4 linked regions of the Saccharomyces cerevisiae S288C genome follow. The gene in region 1 interacts genetically with each later gene. Each region holds a gene or a part of one and is shown in the gene's direction. Other genes may lie near its edges. The genes, in order: MIS1, MSC6, MRS2 and MFM1.

Region 1 (5,322 bases):
ATACTGGTAGAATTTTTGACGTATATATACAAAAAGATTCGTATTCACAGTCGGCCTTGGATGATATGTTTCCAGAAGCCGTAGTTTCAACCGCCGCTTGTGTGAAAAATGAAGCGGAGGATAACATCAATCTCATAGACACGCATCCTCAATTCGAACTGGTAAATACTGGACTGGGTGCTAAATCGGACGATTTGAAATCTCCATCAGCAAAGGCTACGTTCACTGACAAGCAGAGGAAGAATGAAGTACCAAATATATCTGTGAGCAACTACTTTCCCGGACAAAGTAGCGAAACGTCGTCAACAACGGAATCTTGGACTATCGGTTGTGATAAGTGGTCAGAAAAGGTAGAAGAGGCATTCCTTGAGGCACTTAGACTGATAATGAAAAATGGGACCACAAAAATAAAAATAAGAAATGCCAATTTTGGAAGAAACGAGCTGATTTCATTATATATCAAGCACAAAACCAACGAGTTCAGAACCAAAAAGCAAATTTCTTCCCATATTCAAGTCTGGAAGAAGACCATACAAAACAAAATCAAGGACTCGCTGACCCTATCATCAAAGGAGAAGGAGCTTCTACACCTTATCGAACATGGCGCTGAACAAACTACTGAAAACTCAAACCTGTTTTATGACATATTTGAAGAAATTATCGACTCTCTACCTTCAGTCAGTGATTCTGGAAGTTTAACCCCTAAAAACCTCTATGTAAGTAATAATAGCAGTGGATTGTCAGTACATTCAAAACTGCTTACGCCAATCACTGCTTCCAACGAGAAAAAAATTGAAAATTTCATAAAAACTAATGCTGCATCTCAAGCCAAAACCCCCCTCATTTACGCTAAGCACATTTATGAAAACATAGACGGCTACAAGTGCGTTCCGTCAAAGAGGCCTCTTGAACAACTTTCCCCCACGGAACTCCACCAGGGAGATCGCCCCAATAAGGCTAGCTTTTCCAACAAGAAGGCAATCCTGGAGAGTGCAAAAAAAATCGAAATAGAGCAGAGAAAGATAATCAACAAATACCAAAGAATTTCCCGCATACAAGAACATGAAAGTAATCCTGAGTTCAGTTCCAATTCCAATTCCGGTTCAGAGTACGAATCGGAGGAAGAAGTAGTCCCAAGATCAGCCACAGTCACACAACTCCAAAGCAGACCAGTGCCATACTACAAGAATAATGGAATGCCCTACTCACTCTCCAAAGTACGAGGAAGGCCCATGTATCCAAGACCTGCTGAAGATGCTTACAATGCCAATTATATTCAAGGTCTGCCCCAGTACCAAACATCTTATTTTTCGCAGCTGTTATTATCATCACCCCAGCATTACGAACATTCTCCACATCAAAGGAACTTTACGCCATCCAACCAATCGCATGGGAACTTTTATTAAATGTCTACATACATACATACATCTCGTACATAAATACGCATACGTATCTTCGTAGTAAGAACCGTCACAGATATGATTGAGCACGGTACAATTATGTATTAGTCAAACATTACCAGTTCTCGAACAAAACCAAAGCTACTCCTGCAACACTCTTCTATCGCACATGTATGGTTCTTATTGTTTCCCGAGTTCTTTTTTACTGACGCGCCAGAACGAGTAAGAAAGTTCTCTAGCGCCATGCTGAAATTTTTTTCACTTCAACGGACAGCGATTTTTTTTCTTTTTCCTCCGAAATAATGTTGCAGCGGTTCTCGATGCCTCAAGAATTGCAGAAGTAAACCAGCCAATACACATCAAAAAACAACTTTCATTACTGTGATTCTCTCAGTCTGTTCATTTGTCAGATATTTAAGGCTAAAAGGAAATGTTGTCGAGACTATCTTTATTGAGTAACTCGAGGGCGTTCCAACAGGCCAGATGGCGCATTTACCGCTTAAAAGTTTCGCCAACTGTGCATGCTTCTCAATACCATATTCTTTCTGGTAGGAAACTTGCTCAATCTATTCGAGAAAAAGCCAATGATGAGATACAAGCCATTAAGCTTAAGCATCCTAATTTCAAGCCTACCTTGAAAATCATTCAAGTCGGGGCCAGACCAGACTCATCTACGTACGTGAGGATGAAATTGAAAGCTTCAAAGGACAGCAATGTAGACTGTATCATAGAGAAGTTACCAGCAGAAATCACTGAAGTTGAGCTTTTGAAGAAAATTAGTGACATCAATGATGATGACTCTATCCATGGGTTGCTAATTCAACTACCTCTACCGCGTCACTTGGATGAAACCACGATTACAAACGCTGTGGACTTTAAAAAGGACGTTGATGGGTTCCACAGATATAATGCTGGTGAATTGGCTAAAAAAGGAGGGAAACCATACTTCATACCATGTACTCCTTATGGTTGCATGAAATTACTTGAAGAAGCTCATGTTAAGTTAGATGGTAAGAACGCCGTCGTGTTAGGCAGATCAAGTATCGTCGGAAATCCAATTGCTTCGTTGTTGAAAAATGCGAATGCCACTGTTACTGTCTGTCATAGTCATACAAGGAACATTGCAGAAGTGGTCTCCCAAGCTGATATAGTTATCGCAGCTTGCGGTATTCCTCAATACGTTAAATCAGACTGGATTAAAGAAGGCGCCGTGGTTATTGATGTAGGTATCAACTACGTACCTGATATCAGTAAGAAAAGTGGGCAAAAATTAGTTGGTGATGTTGATTTTGATTCTGTAAAGGAAAAGACATCTTATATTACCCCTGTTCCTGGTGGAGTGGGTCCAATGACTGTCGCTATGCTTGTTTCCAATGTACTATTAGCTGCTAAAAGGCAATTCGTGGAATCTGAAAAGCTTCCAGTTATCAAACCTCTTCCATTACACTTAGAAAGTCCAGTGCCTTCAGATATTGATATATCAAGAGCTCAGAGTCCTAAGCATATCAAGCAAGTTGCCGAGGAGTTGGGAATCCACTCTCACGAATTAGAATTATACGGCCACTATAAGGCAAAAATTTCTCCAAATATTTTTAAAAGATTAGAATCTAGAGAAAACGGTAAGTACGTCCTTGTTGCAGGTATTACTCCGACTCCATTGGGTGAAGGTAAATCCACTACGACTATGGGGTTGGTGCAGGCTTTATCCGCTCATTTAGGGAAACCATCCATCGCGAACGTTAGACAACCATCTCTTGGCCCAACCCTGGGTGTCAAAGGTGGTGCTGCTGGTGGTGGTTATGCCCAAGTTATTCCTATGGACGAGTTCAATTTACATTTGACCGGGGATATTCATGCTATCAGCGCTGCGAACAATCTTCTTGCAGCAGCTATCGACACTAGAATGTTCCATGAAGCCACTCAGAAGAATGATAGTACATTTTACAAGAGACTAGTTCCAAGAAAAAAAGGCATCAGAAAGTTTACCCCATCCATGCAGAGAAGGCTTAAAAGATTGGATATTGAAAAAGAAGACCCTGATGCTTTAACACCTGAAGAAGTCAAAAGATTTGCTAGATTGAACATAAATCCCGATACTATCACTATCAGAAGAGTTGTCGACATCAATGACAGGATGTTAAGACAAATTACCATTGGCGAAGCCGCTACGGAGAAGGGTTTTACAAGGACCACTGGATTCGATATCACTGTTGCCTCTGAATTAATGGCCATTTTAGCTCTATCTAAAAGCTTACACGAGATGAAGGAACGTATTGGACGCATGGTTATTGGTGCTGATTATGATAACAAACCAGTAACAGTAGAAGATATTGGCTGTACCGGTGCTCTGACTGCATTATTACGTGACGCTATAAAGCCTAACTTAATGCAAACTTTGGAAGGGACCCCCGTAATGGTTCACGCTGGTCCTTTCGCCAACATCTCCATCGGCGCATCATCAGTAATTGCAGACTTAATGGCATTGAAGCTTGTTGGTTCAGAAAAGAACCCGTTAAATGACAAGAACATCCATGAACCTGGTTATGTAGTTACTGAAGCAGGATTCGATTTTGCCATGGGTGGTGAAAGATTCTTTGATATCAAATGTCGTTCCTCTGGATTGGTGCCAGATGCAGTTGTCTTAGTCGCAACCGTAAGAGCTTTGAAATCTCATGGAGGTGCTCCAAATGTTAAGCCCGGACAATCATTACCAAAAGAATACACAGAGGAAAACATCGATTTTGTTGCCAAGGGTGTTAGTAATTTGGTTAAGCAGATTGAAAACATCAAAACGTTTGGAATACCAGTCGTTGTAGCAATCAACAGATTTGAAACAGACTCACAGGCAGAGATTGAGGTAATCAAGAAAGCAGCCTTGAATGCTGGCGCATCTCATGCCGTTACTTCTAATCACTGGATGGAAGGTGGTAAAGGTGCAGTAGAATTAGCACATGCTGTGGTAGATGCAACGAAAGAACCAAAGAACTTTAACTTTTTGTACGACGTCAATAGCTCCATCGAGGACAAGCTTACCAGCATCGTCCAAAAAATGTATGGTGGGGCAAAAATCGAAGTATCACCAGAAGCCCAAAAAAAGATAGACACCTACAAAAAACAAGGCTTCGGTAATCTTCCCATCTGTATTGCTAAGACACAATATTCATTATCCCATGATCCATCATTAAAGGGTGTTCCTAGAGGTTTTACGTTCCCCATCAGGGATGTGAGAGCTTCAATAGGTGCAGGTTATTTATACGCTTTGGCTGCAGAAATTCAAACCATACCGGGTCTATCGACATATGCTGGTTACATGGCAGTAGAAGTCGACGACGACGGTGAAATTGAAGGTCTATTTTAAATAGTTTGGCAGACTCCTAATGGCATCAATTCGACCTCGATGTCCGTCTGCACGAGTACCCTTTATATAAACAATTGAGATGAGAATATTAGAAAAATGGGTTTTAGTTATGTAGGTATATGTGCATACATACGTATTATCGAAGTTTTTGCTACCTGTTTATTAACTGAGTATGTATATTAAGATAAATTAATTAAAGAAAATTTAAGCGTCTTCCTTCAATAAAGCATCTCTCTTTTCAGCAACTCTTTGAGCTCTTCTGTCACGAGCAGCTCTGTTCTTCAATCTTCTAGCTTCAGCTTCTTCGTTCAAAGCCTTTTCACGTTGAGCATCAGCCTTAGCTTGGATGATGTGTTCAACCAAGGCTCTCTTGTGTTTGAAAGCGTTACCCTTAGATTCCTTGTACAAAACATGGTACAAGTGCTTGTCAATCTTACCAGCATCACGGTACTTAGCCAATAATCTTCTCAAGACACGTAATCTTCTGATCCAGACAACTTGGGATGGTAAACGGGCTTCTCTGGTACCCTTTCTCTTACCGTAACCACTGTGACGACCTTCTCT
Region 2 (4,346 bases), on another chromosome or scaffold:
GCCCGTTTATTTTCTATTTTGCTGATATTGTTTCTGCTAACGTTTCTTTATATAATCCCGCTTGCTGACACAGAAGTGACTAAAATAGGGTAAAAAGGGAAATTATTACGAAAAGGGCAGTCCAAAGCAAATAAAAAACAATGGAATAGAAAATAAAAAAAATTAAAACTCAAAATAAAATGTATTCCAATGTAAAGGAAAAAATAAAATAATAGGAAAAAAGAAACTATTATTTTAAAGCCTTCAATAATGGAATGCTGAAAAGAAAAGTTATGATTTTGGTAATTTGAGTCAAATAGTCAATCAATGACTTTTTGTTTTTGGTTTTTCAGAAATAGAAATTACCAAGAACCTTAATTGATAAAAAAAAGGGGAGCTTGAAGGGAATACTGATAATACAAACAATATCGTGTAAAAAAAACCTACGTAAAAAATTAAATCAAGCCAAGCGAGAACAGAAAAAAAAAATGAAGTAAAATATTGGACTGGAATATGAAAATTTTAGAAAAAGAACTAGCCGGGATAAAAGTACAAGAAAAGGAGAAGAAGAAAAATTTTTGACTTCTCATCGCATGGGTTTTCAGAAAATTTTCTTATCAAAAATTTCATCGGGCGTATGATTTTCGTTTTTTTCTGCGTCGTTCCTTCACAAAGTATCGAAAACCCCAAACAAAAAAAATATAAAAAAAAAAAAACACCCTTGCACCCATAACATACGGCGAGATGTAAGGTAGGTATAGCAGACTTAGATATTGCGTGCGAATCAGTTTGATTCGCAAGTAAAATCTTCATGCGCATTAGTATAGAGCGTTGGAAGCAGTTAACATAGTATTTCGGTTTTTTTTCCCTTTCATAAAAAGGATTCTTCTTCCATAATCCCTTGCGTGAGTTGAATATGAATGAAACTCGTTGAACTAGTGAACAACAAGTGATTGTATGCTCATATTTAGTACTAACATTTCAGCATTGTATAATCCTTTCTTTACTTTCAGGATAAAGACATACATTCTACGTATGATCAAGAGTAAGGAACAAGAATATTAAAAAAAACGAGATGAACCTTGAGTATATATATATATATTTACACCAATGTGCCCTACGAAAATAGTGAAAAAAAAATTTCAGTTGCAACCGCGTTTTGTCCGTTAGTATCTTTTGTCCGTACACCTCGTACTAAAAAAGAAAACCAGTCCAAAAAGAAAGTCAAACGGTCCAAATCGGAAACACCGACGCTCAGCTTAATAAACATTGTGTAGAGCCAAGCGGAAAAGAATACCATTTAGCCGCCGATGCAGAAAACCGGTATATAGAGCTGAAAACAAAGATTGAACTCTCCAGACAAGTTAGAAGTAAAAGCAAGTAATATATAAGTTTTATAAGTGAATATTCGGTCGAAGGTAGTGTCAAAGTTACATCACCAAAACTACTTACTATTGAGGAAATATCAGGTGTGCCAATACGTTAATTGATCTGTGAATAAAAAACGAAGTTGGAACATTGTATTACCTTTCAAATATGCCATAAAAGGTTGCTCGTCGACTAAGTAATTAATCGATTATAAGAGGGAAAAAGCGGGGTAAGTAAAATGTAATATCATCATATACGATATACATACCGCCTGTGGAATCGTTCAATTGCTACACATGTCTAACTAAGGACGTACTGTCTATATGTTTGCTTAAGTTGGCTCTGCACAAAATAATATCAGAGCCTTCCACTGGGATACAGATGCTTTCCCATAATGCTTTAAGGGCCTTTGATTGTTCAAAGGTGATTATTTCACGAAGATGTCTAACCTCTTCAACATCGATATACCAACAAAGCAGCGTTCACTTACAAGAAACAGATGATGGACATTCAGGAAATAGAGAAAAGCACGTCTCACCGTTTGAAAGGGTACAAAATTTGGCTGCTGATTTGAAGAACGAGTTGAAAGCTCCAGATTCAGATATCAATGAAGTTTTTAATGACTTTAAAGATAAGATTGAATCGTTGAAACAGAAATTAAGGAACCCTTCACCTATGGAAAGATCACACTTGTTAGCGAATTTTTCTTCGGATCTCCTACAGGAATTAAGTTACAGAAGCAAAAATATGACGCTAGATCCTTATCAAGTATTAAACACATTGTGCCAATACAAATTGGCACGCTCACAACATTTCACGATTGTTTTAAAGTACCTTCTATATAATCAATCACCACAGGACGTTATTGCCTTATGGGTGAAGTACTTGGAAACCATTTCCGAAAACCCAGTGATCTTACTTCAAAATAGTTCTTCTCGTGCACATATGCAAAATATTGCAATTACCACCATTGCTTACTTATCTTTACCAGAGAATACTGTGGATATCAATATTCTGTATAAGATTTTACAGATCGATCGTAAAATGGGCCAGGTTTTACCTTTTAACATGATTAGAAGAATGTTAAGTACAGAATTTAGCTCTCTTGAAAGAAGAGACGTGATTATCAAAAATCTAAACACTTTGTACTATCAATACACAGTACAGGATAGTGATCATTTCTTAAGTCAAATTGAAAATGCTCCTAGATGGATAGATTTAAGGGATCTTTATGGCCAATACAATAAACTTGAAGGTGAGAAAAATGTAGAGATCATAAGCAAGTTCATGGACAAGTTTATTGATTTGGATAAACCCGACCAAGTTGTTACTATTTATAACCAGTATAGCAAGGTTTTCCCAAATAGTACGTCGCTGAAAGATTGTCTTTTAAGAGCTGTGTCGCACTTACGAGCTAAATCGAGTAAAGAGAAGTTGGACAGAATTCTAGCAGTCTGGAACAGTGTTATCAAACCAGGAGATAATATTAAAAACACATCTTATGCGACGCTAGTTAACGCACTAACTGATTCTGGAAATTTCAACCATTTAAAGGAATTTTGGGAAGAAGAACTTCCTAAAAAGTTCAAGAAAGATCCCATCGTGAAGGAAGCATTTCTCCTGGCCTTATGTCAAACTTCGCCTCTAAAGTATGACCAAGTCAAAGGGGAGTTAGCAGAGACTGTTAAAACCAAGAAGTTGTTCAATAAAGTTTTATTGCTAATGTTAGATGATGAAAAAGTGAGCGAAGAACAATTCAACACATTTTACTATAACCATTATCCATCAGATGGTGTGTTACCCCCTACTTTGGATACTCTAAGCATTAAAATGTACGCTAATTATAAATTTCAGGCAGAAGATACACGCCCACAATTCGATCTATTGCAAAGTGTTTCCATTAATCCCACCGATTATGAAAAGGTTGAAAAGATTACGAAAGCCTTTATTTCAGTGTGCCCCACTGTCGAGCCGATTCGTCAACTTTACAAACAATTGGGAACTCACTTAAATGCTAGGAATTATGCAGACTTTATTTCCGCAGAGTTTAATAAGCCTGACGGCACAGTGGCCGAGGCAAAGAATTTGTTTTCTGATTTTCTCTCATATCAAAAGACTAGAAAGAGAAACGTGGATAATACGCCTCTAAATGCTTTATTATTGGGGTTCTGTGATAAACTTTACAAGAGTAAACATAGCGAGTACGTTCCCTACATCGAAAAGTACTACAATCTAGCTAAGGATTCAAGTATCAGGGTGTCGAACTTGGCCGTTTCGAAAATTCTATTCAACTTGGCCACATTTGCACGCAATACTCAGCAGTTATCTGACAAAGAGGTTGCTTTTATTAACCAGTTTATGCGAGATTTAGGCACTAATGAGGGTTTTCGTCCCAACCCTAAGGATATTCAAATTTTAAAAGAATGTGATGGAATTACTGTTCCAGAAAAGTTGACTTAATACACTTGTCATAAGAAGACAATAAGAAAAGCTCAGAACCAATTTTCTGCACATATGATGCTGTAACTATATAATGATTTCTTGTATATAACTTCCGTATAATAGTTATTGCTTCCATGCATGATTCTTTCAAAGAACAATACAAAATAAAAATAAAAAAAAAAAAAAAAAATGAAAAAATGAAGCTACAAGTCGGGTAACAAAAAGTATTTCAAGATCTCTAAATATAAGTGGGCAAATAAAGTTAATGCCAAAACTCCATGCTACTTTTCACCTGAACTTATTGGGGGGAGTTAAGTCTATAAGTATCCGTAACGTATGGTAGCGACATCTTCAAAGAGGACGTTGGATCCGAAGGAGGAACATTTGCCTGCTGACAAAACATCCACTAATTCAAGCAACACTATAATATCTGAGTTGGCAACACAAGAGAAATCCAGCTCTAGTGGTACTACACTAAAATTAATAGCTCTTAATATCAAGTCCATATCAGATGAAGATGTGGGATATATCCAAAATGTTGAAAGACTGTCTTTAAG
Region 3 (3,506 bases), on another chromosome or scaffold:
GCCTTGTAGTGGCGGCAGAGGAAACGATATTGGATCCGTGATGAGCGTCTTCTTCCCCCACAACCCATGGTCCTTTAGCGACTTTTTCGATAACTCCATAAGTTTGTCGCTTTGCTCCACCTCATCTTTACCACCGCAACTACCAAATACCTGTCTTTGCAAAGACTCACCTAAATACTGTATCCCCACAGGATTAATCCTGGGTGCTTCTGCGGTATTCTTCTTTGTGGAGAACCATCGAGCACAAAACTGCACACGCAGCGGCCGCCGCCGCACCATTCGCAGCATGCATTCAGATCTAACCATCAATTTCGTCATACTTGTCCCTCGTTGCTCAACAACTACATATAATCCCCATCTCGACCTCTTCTTTAGAACCGTTCTTTCGTAGTCCATACCTATTGTTGTTTACTGAGTATCGGCTAAAAGTGCGCCCGAGGTCACCCGCCACGGAGAGGGGCGAAAGCGGCCATTTCGATAAGAACTCACGCTATATATCAGCAAAGAACAATAGCAGTTGCAAGAAAAGTTGTTTGTAACTGTTTTACAAAAGAGGCACAGAACAGGCCACGCACCATCCGATACAGCATGTCCTCCGCTATTACTGCTTTGACACCAAACCAAGTGAACGATGAATTGAACAAGATGCAAGCTTTCATCAGAAAGGAAGCTGAAGAAAAAGCGAAGGAAATCCAATTGAAGGCTGACCAAGAGTACGAAATCGAGAAGACCAACATCGTAAGAAATGAAACCAACAACATTGACGGCAACTTCAAGAGCAAGTTGAAGAAGGCCATGCTTTCGCAACAGATTACTAAGTCAACGATAGCAAACAAAATGAGGTTGAAGGTTCTTTCTGCTCGTGAACAGTCGCTAGACGGGATATTCGAGGAAACCAAGGAAAAGTTGTCAGGAATTGCCAACAACCGGGACGAGTACAAGCCCATTTTGCAATCATTGATCGTGGAGGCACTTTTGAAGTTGTTGGAACCTAAGGCGATTGTCAAGGCTCTTGAAAGAGACGTCGATTTAATCGAGTCGATGAAGGACGACATTATGCGTGAGTATGGGGAAAAGGCCCAGCGCGCACCATTGGAAGAGATTGTTATCTCCAATGATTACTTGAACAAAGACCTTGTTTCCGGCGGTGTTGTGGTCTCCAATGCATCAGACAAGATTGAAATTAACAACACTTTGGAGGAAAGATTGAAATTGTTAAGTGAAGAGGCATTGCCCGCCATCAGATTGGAATTGTATGGTCCTTCCAAGACAAGAAAGTTCTTTGATTGATCGACCAGCAGCTTGTATACCTACATACTTACATATACACTCCTAACAGATTTTTTTTTGTATGTTGTTCTTTCCTCTGTGGTGGTCCAGTCTTTTGTCTCTTTTTTTTTTTCTTCTTTTTTTTTTTTTTTTTTTTTTTTGCAGCATTATGATAGAACAATAGGGCTCAAGATCGCACCAAGGCTAACAGTAACGGTATACGCAATCGTAGTGAAAGTGATTTTCAATCAAGCATCTCATGAATCGGCGTCTCCTGGTACGTTCTATATCTTGTTTCCAACCTTTGTCGAGAATAACTTTTGGAAGACCAAACACGCCATTTCTTAGAAAGTATGCTGACACATCCACTGCTGCAAACACCAACAGCACCATATTGCGGAAACAGTTACTATCGTTGAAGCCCATTTCTGCCTCTGATTCACTGTTCATTTCGTGTACGGTATTCAATTCTAAGGGAAATATTATCTCAATGTCCGAGAAGTTTCCTAAATGGTCCTTTTTAACTGAACATTCCCTTTTCCCCAGAGACCTGAGGAAAATAGATAACTCCTCTATTGATATTATTCCAACCATCATGTGTAAGCCAAACTGTATTGTCATCAACTTATTGCATATCAAAGCTCTTATCGAACGAGATAAGGTCTACGTCTTCGATACAACAAACCCTTCCGCCGCTGCCAAACTGAGTGTACTTATGTATGACTTGGAGTCTAAGTTGTCCTCCACCAAGAATAACTCTCAATTTTACGAGCATAGAGCCCTCGAGAGTATTTTCATCAACGTAATGAGCGCACTGGAAACAGATTTCAAGCTTCACTCACAAATCTGTATTCAAATCTTAAATGATCTGGAAAACGAGGTCAATAGACTTAAACTGCGGCATCTTTTAATTAAGTCCAAAGATCTTACGCTTTTTTACCAAAAAACTTTATTGATTAGAGATCTATTAGATGAACTATTAGAAAACGACGATGATTTAGCAAACATGTACTTGACAGTTAAGAAGTCTCCTAAGGACAATTTTTCGGACTTGGAAATGCTTATAGAGACGTACTACACCCAATGTGATGAATACGTTCAGCAATCAGAATCTTTGATTCAGGATATCAAATCTACTGAAGAAATTGTCAACATCATATTGGACGCAAATAGAAATTCCTTAATGTTGTTGGAGTTGAAAGTTACCATCTACACGTTGGGATTCACAGTAGCATCTGTTCTGCCGGCATTCTATGGTATGAATTTAAAGAATTTCATCGAGGAGAGTGAATGGGGGTTTACTTCAGTGGCGGTATTTTCTATTGTTTCTGCCCTTTATATCACCAAGAAAAATTTTAATTCTTTAAGATCCGTGACAAAGATGACCATGTATCCAAACTCACCCGCAAACTCCAGTGTGTATCCTAAAACATCAGCGTCTATTGCCCTGACAAATAAACTAAAGCGAAGGCGGAAGTGGTGGAAATCAACCAAGCAGCGGTTGGGAGTGCTACTTTATGGCAGCAGCTACACTAATAAGGCTAACCTGTCGAATAATAAGATTAATAAAGGTTTTTCAAAGGTGAAGAAATTTAACATGGAGAATGATATTAAGAACAAGCAGAACAGAGATATGATTTGGAAATGGTTGATAGAAGACAAGAAAAATTGAAAGGCGATTATCATGATAAACTATACAATATTATTAGCATAAACCTGTATATATACATATGTAAGAAAAAAGGGTATTTAAAACTCTTTTTAACAGCAAATCTTTTGTCCTTGTAAAAACATAAATAATTAAACTAAGACTAATTATACAATGACACTTTTTTATTAAGAGCAAAATAAACAAAAAGAACTCCTATGCATTATTTTTCGTTTTATTTTAACTTCTTAAATGGAAAGCTTCTCCTTGAACAAACTTTCCAAATCATCAACTGCATCCTTTATAGCGGCTGGTTTATCACCCATACCTTGGAAAACATTACCTTTACCACCAGCCTTACCGCCGATGATACTGGACACCTTTTTGGCAAGCGCAGAACCATCAATACCCTTGGCTAAAGCAGCATTGGAGATGTAACAACCGTGAGCAACACGACCTTCAGGGTCATTACCTGCCAATAAATAGATTGACTTGTCTTTGACAGAATCATTGGATTTCATGTAGTTGATCGCTTCAGTGATAGCTTTAGCATTTGGAGAAATATCAATGAATTTAACTAGGTATGGAG
Region 4 (3,337 bases), on another chromosome or scaffold:
AATGGTAAAACTTTGGCCTTAGCCCGTGGGGATGTTACCATTGCAATCAACTGTCTAAGAGATGCTGCTGCCTATGCCGACAAAGTCAACGGTAGAACAATCAACACCGGTGACGGCTACATGAACTTCACCACCTTAGAGCCAATCGGTGTCTGTGGTCAAATTATTCCATGGAACTTTCCAATAATGATGTTGGCTTGGAAGATCGCCCCAGCATTGGCCATGGGTAACGTCTGTATCTTGAAACCCGCTGCTGTCACACCTTTAAATGCCCTATACTTTGCTTCTTTATGTAAGAAGGTTGGTATTCCAGCTGGTGTCGTCAACATCGTTCCAGGTCCTGGTAGAACTGTTGGTGCTGCTTTGACCAACGACCCAAGAATCAGAAAGCTGGCTTTTACCGGTTCTACAGAAGTCGGTAAGAGTGTTGCTGTCGACTCTTCTGAATCTAACTTGAAGAAAATCACTTTGGAACTAGGTGGTAAGTCCGCCCATTTGGTCTTTGACGATGCTAACATTAAGAAGACTTTACCAAATCTAGTAAACGGTATTTTCAAGAACGCTGGTCAAATTTGTTCCTCTGGTTCTAGAATTTACGTTCAAGAAGGTATTTACGACGAACTATTGGCTGCTTTCAAGGCTTACTTGGAAACCGAAATCAAAGTTGGTAATCCATTTGACAAGGCTAACTTCCAAGGTGCTATCACTAACCGTCAACAATTCGACACAATTATGAACTACATCGATATCGGTAAGAAAGAAGGCGCCAAGATCTTAACTGGTGGCGAAAAAGTTGGTGACAAGGGTTACTTCATCAGACCAACCGTTTTCTACGATGTTAATGAAGACATGAGAATTGTTAAGGAAGAAATTTTTGGACCAGTTGTCACTGTCGCAAAGTTCAAGACTTTAGAAGAAGGTGTCGAAATGGCTAACAGCTCTGAATTCGGTCTAGGTTCTGGTATCGAAACAGAATCTTTGAGCACAGGTTTGAAGGTGGCCAAGATGTTGAAGGCCGGTACCGTCTGGATCAACACATACAACGATTTTGACTCCAGAGTTCCATTCGGTGGTGTTAAGCAATCTGGTTACGGTAGAGAAATGGGTGAAGAAGTCTACCATGCATACACTGAAGTAAAAGCTGTCAGAATTAAGTTGTAATGTACCAACCTGCATTTCTTTCCGTCATATACACAAAATACTTTCATATAAACTTACTTGGTCTTACGTCATAAATAAATATGTATACATATAAATTAAAAAATTTGGTTTTATATTTTTACAAAAAGAATCGTTTACTTCATTTCTCCCTTTTAAGCGATACAATCCATGAAAAAAGAGAAAAAGAGAGAACAGGCTTGTGCCTTCTTTAAAACATCCCACACAAAATCATATTGAATTGAATTTTACATCTTAAGCTAGTGTACAACAACTGCTATATCCAAAGAAAACTAACGTGGACCGCTTTTAGAGTTGAGAAAAAGGTTTGAAAAAAATAGCAATACAAAGACTTGTTTCATATATAAAATACAGGGAGCACATTGAGCTAATATAACATAAACACTGCGAACCAATTCCAATCAAAAGGTACACATGAGAGCATTCCCCCGAGTACTGCCATTTCGCCATCAGAGATCATATAATAACATCCTTCTTCGAACAGTAAGGCTTTTTGGTTCATCACTTTCTTCTTTTGATTTCTCTAGGCAAATGCCTAAGGTGGACCCTGACAATACCGCTGCAATGCTACTACAGAAAAACTTGATCCAAAGAAACAACATGCTCTATGGGTATGGATCAGGGACAATACGATGTACTTTGCTAGACTCAACTGGACGAGCCAAATCACCATTAGTAGAGATAAAACGTGAGGATCTAGTATCAAAACATGGCTTGTTGCCCAGAGATCTACGTAAAATTGAAAAATCAAGGAAGAATGACTTAGTCCCTAGTTTGCTCGTGCGAGAAAATTCCATACTAATCAGTTTACTTACTGTGAAAGCCCTAATTAAGCCTGATATGGTTATTATCTTCGATTCAGCCGGCAGTGGAATAACTTTAAACTCAGAAGCTCACAAGGATTTTATTAACGATATGAAATTGAGACTAAAAAATCAAGAAACAAGCGAGCTAAATAGCGATCCACTTCCTTATGAATTCAGAGCTTTAGAAACGATCTTCATTTCGGCATTATCTAACCTTACCAGTGAAATGAAGGTGTTGCTAACCATATGCAAGGGGGTGCTTCAAGATCTAGAATTTAGTATAACAAGAGATAAATTAAGGTTCTTACTGGGTCAAAACAAAAAATTGAGCAGCTTCAATAAAAAGGCTGTTCTAGTTAAAGATATGCTGGATGACTTGCTAGAGCAAGACGATATGCTTTGTGATATGTACTTAACCGACAAAAAGGCTGGAAAAATTAGAGTTCAAGATGATCATACTGAAATTGAAATGCTTCTGGAAACATATCATAACTATGTCGATGAAATAGTTCAGAAAAGCGAAAGCGCCATATCTGACGTGAAAACCACAGAAGAAATCATCAATATAATCCTAGATTCTAACAGAAACGAATTAATGCTGTTAGGGATAAGATACGCCATAGGAATGCTTTCGTTGGGAGGCGCTCTATTCCTGGGTTCTATCTATGGTATGAATCTGGAAAGTTTCATAGAAGAAAGTAATTATGCGTATTTAACTGTCACCATTTTGGGGTTAATATCTACTGTTTGGCTCTATGCGAAGGGAATCAGACATTTGCATAAATTACAACGTATGACATTATTGAGTAAAATAAAAACAGATTCCGTTCACGAACTGTTGAAGAAATAGTTATCACGAAGAGTCAATCAATCTTTTTAATACGCATTCAAATGAATAAGAACAACTTTCACTTTTTTAAGTATATAAAAAGCCGTACAGGCGAACGTATATAATTAAAATTCTTTGGAAAAAAAGAAAGCTCGCACTCAGGATCGAACTAAGGACCAACAGATTTGCAATCTGCTGCGCTACCACTGCGCCATACGAGCTTTTGTTGTATAGTTTTAAGGCAATAGAATAATAACACTTATCCACGCAACAGTAATGTGGTTAAATAATAACTTCCTGTCAGGACTTGTGGTTGATTGGTGAAAATCAAATATCATGCTGACTACTAGAAATATTAGCAGTATATTATCATATACGGTGTAAGAAGATGAGATAAGGATTGAGAAACAGTCATCAAGTTTAATGAAAGTGAAATGAAAGGATTGATTATATAATAGGATAATGAATCACAAAGTATAAAAAGAAGGAAGAAAAAATGATATCATTGAGAAATTGATGAATT

The links.
Region 2: mutations in MIS1 (region 1) and MSC6 together harm fitness more than expected from each alone (negative genetic interaction), as found in Saccharomyces cerevisiae (2 studies listed by BioGRID).
Region 3: mutations in MIS1 (region 1) and MRS2 together harm fitness more than expected from each alone (negative genetic interaction), as found in Saccharomyces cerevisiae (2 studies listed by BioGRID).
Region 4: mutations in MIS1 (region 1) and MFM1 together harm fitness more than expected from each alone (negative genetic interaction), as found in Saccharomyces cerevisiae (2 studies listed by BioGRID).

The regions. Positions count from the first base shown.
Region 1 is NC_001134.8:409,224-414,545, forward strand, and holds MIS1 (trifunctional formate-tetrahydrofolate ligase/methenyltetrahydrofolate cyclohydrolase/methylenetetrahydrofolate dehydrogenase MIS1), read left to right. Parts: upstream 1-1,830; coding exon 1,831-4,758; downstream 4,759-5,322. Other genes in the region: TEC1 (Tec1p), read left to right, coding at 1-1,406; 60S ribosomal protein eL19 RPL19A, read right to left, coding at 4,963-5,322. UniProt on the Saccharomyces cerevisiae protein: Mitochondrial isozyme of C-1-tetrahydrofolate synthase.
Region 2 is NC_001147.6:1,000,608-1,004,953, reverse strand, and holds MSC6 (Msc6p), read left to right. Parts: upstream 1-1,728; coding exon 1,729-3,807; downstream 3,808-4,346. Other genes in the region: SOG2 (Sog2p), read left to right, coding at 4,126-4,346. UniProt on the Saccharomyces cerevisiae protein: May be involved in the control of meiotic sister-chromatid recombination.
Region 3 is NC_001147.6:943,068-946,573, forward strand, and holds MRS2 (Mrs2p), read left to right. Parts: upstream 1-1,528; coding exon 1,529-2,941; downstream 2,942-3,506. Other genes in the region: DNA-directed DNA polymerase gamma MIP1, read right to left, coding at 1-318; VMA4 (H(+)-transporting V1 sector ATPase subunit E), read left to right, coding at 589-1,290; ALA1 (alanine--tRNA ligase), read right to left, coding at 3,166-3,506. UniProt on the Saccharomyces cerevisiae protein: High-conductance magnesium-selective channel that mediates the influx of magnesium into the mitochondrial matrix.
Region 4 is NC_001148.4:432,930-436,266, forward strand, and holds MFM1 (Mfm1p), read left to right. Parts: upstream 1-1,593; coding exon 1,594-2,835; downstream 2,836-3,337. Other genes in the region: aldehyde dehydrogenase (NADP(+)) ALD6, read left to right, coding at 1-1,161. UniProt on the Saccharomyces cerevisiae protein: Mitochondrial inner membrane magnesium transporter required for mitochondrial magnesium homeostasis. Modulates the conductance of the MRS2 channel.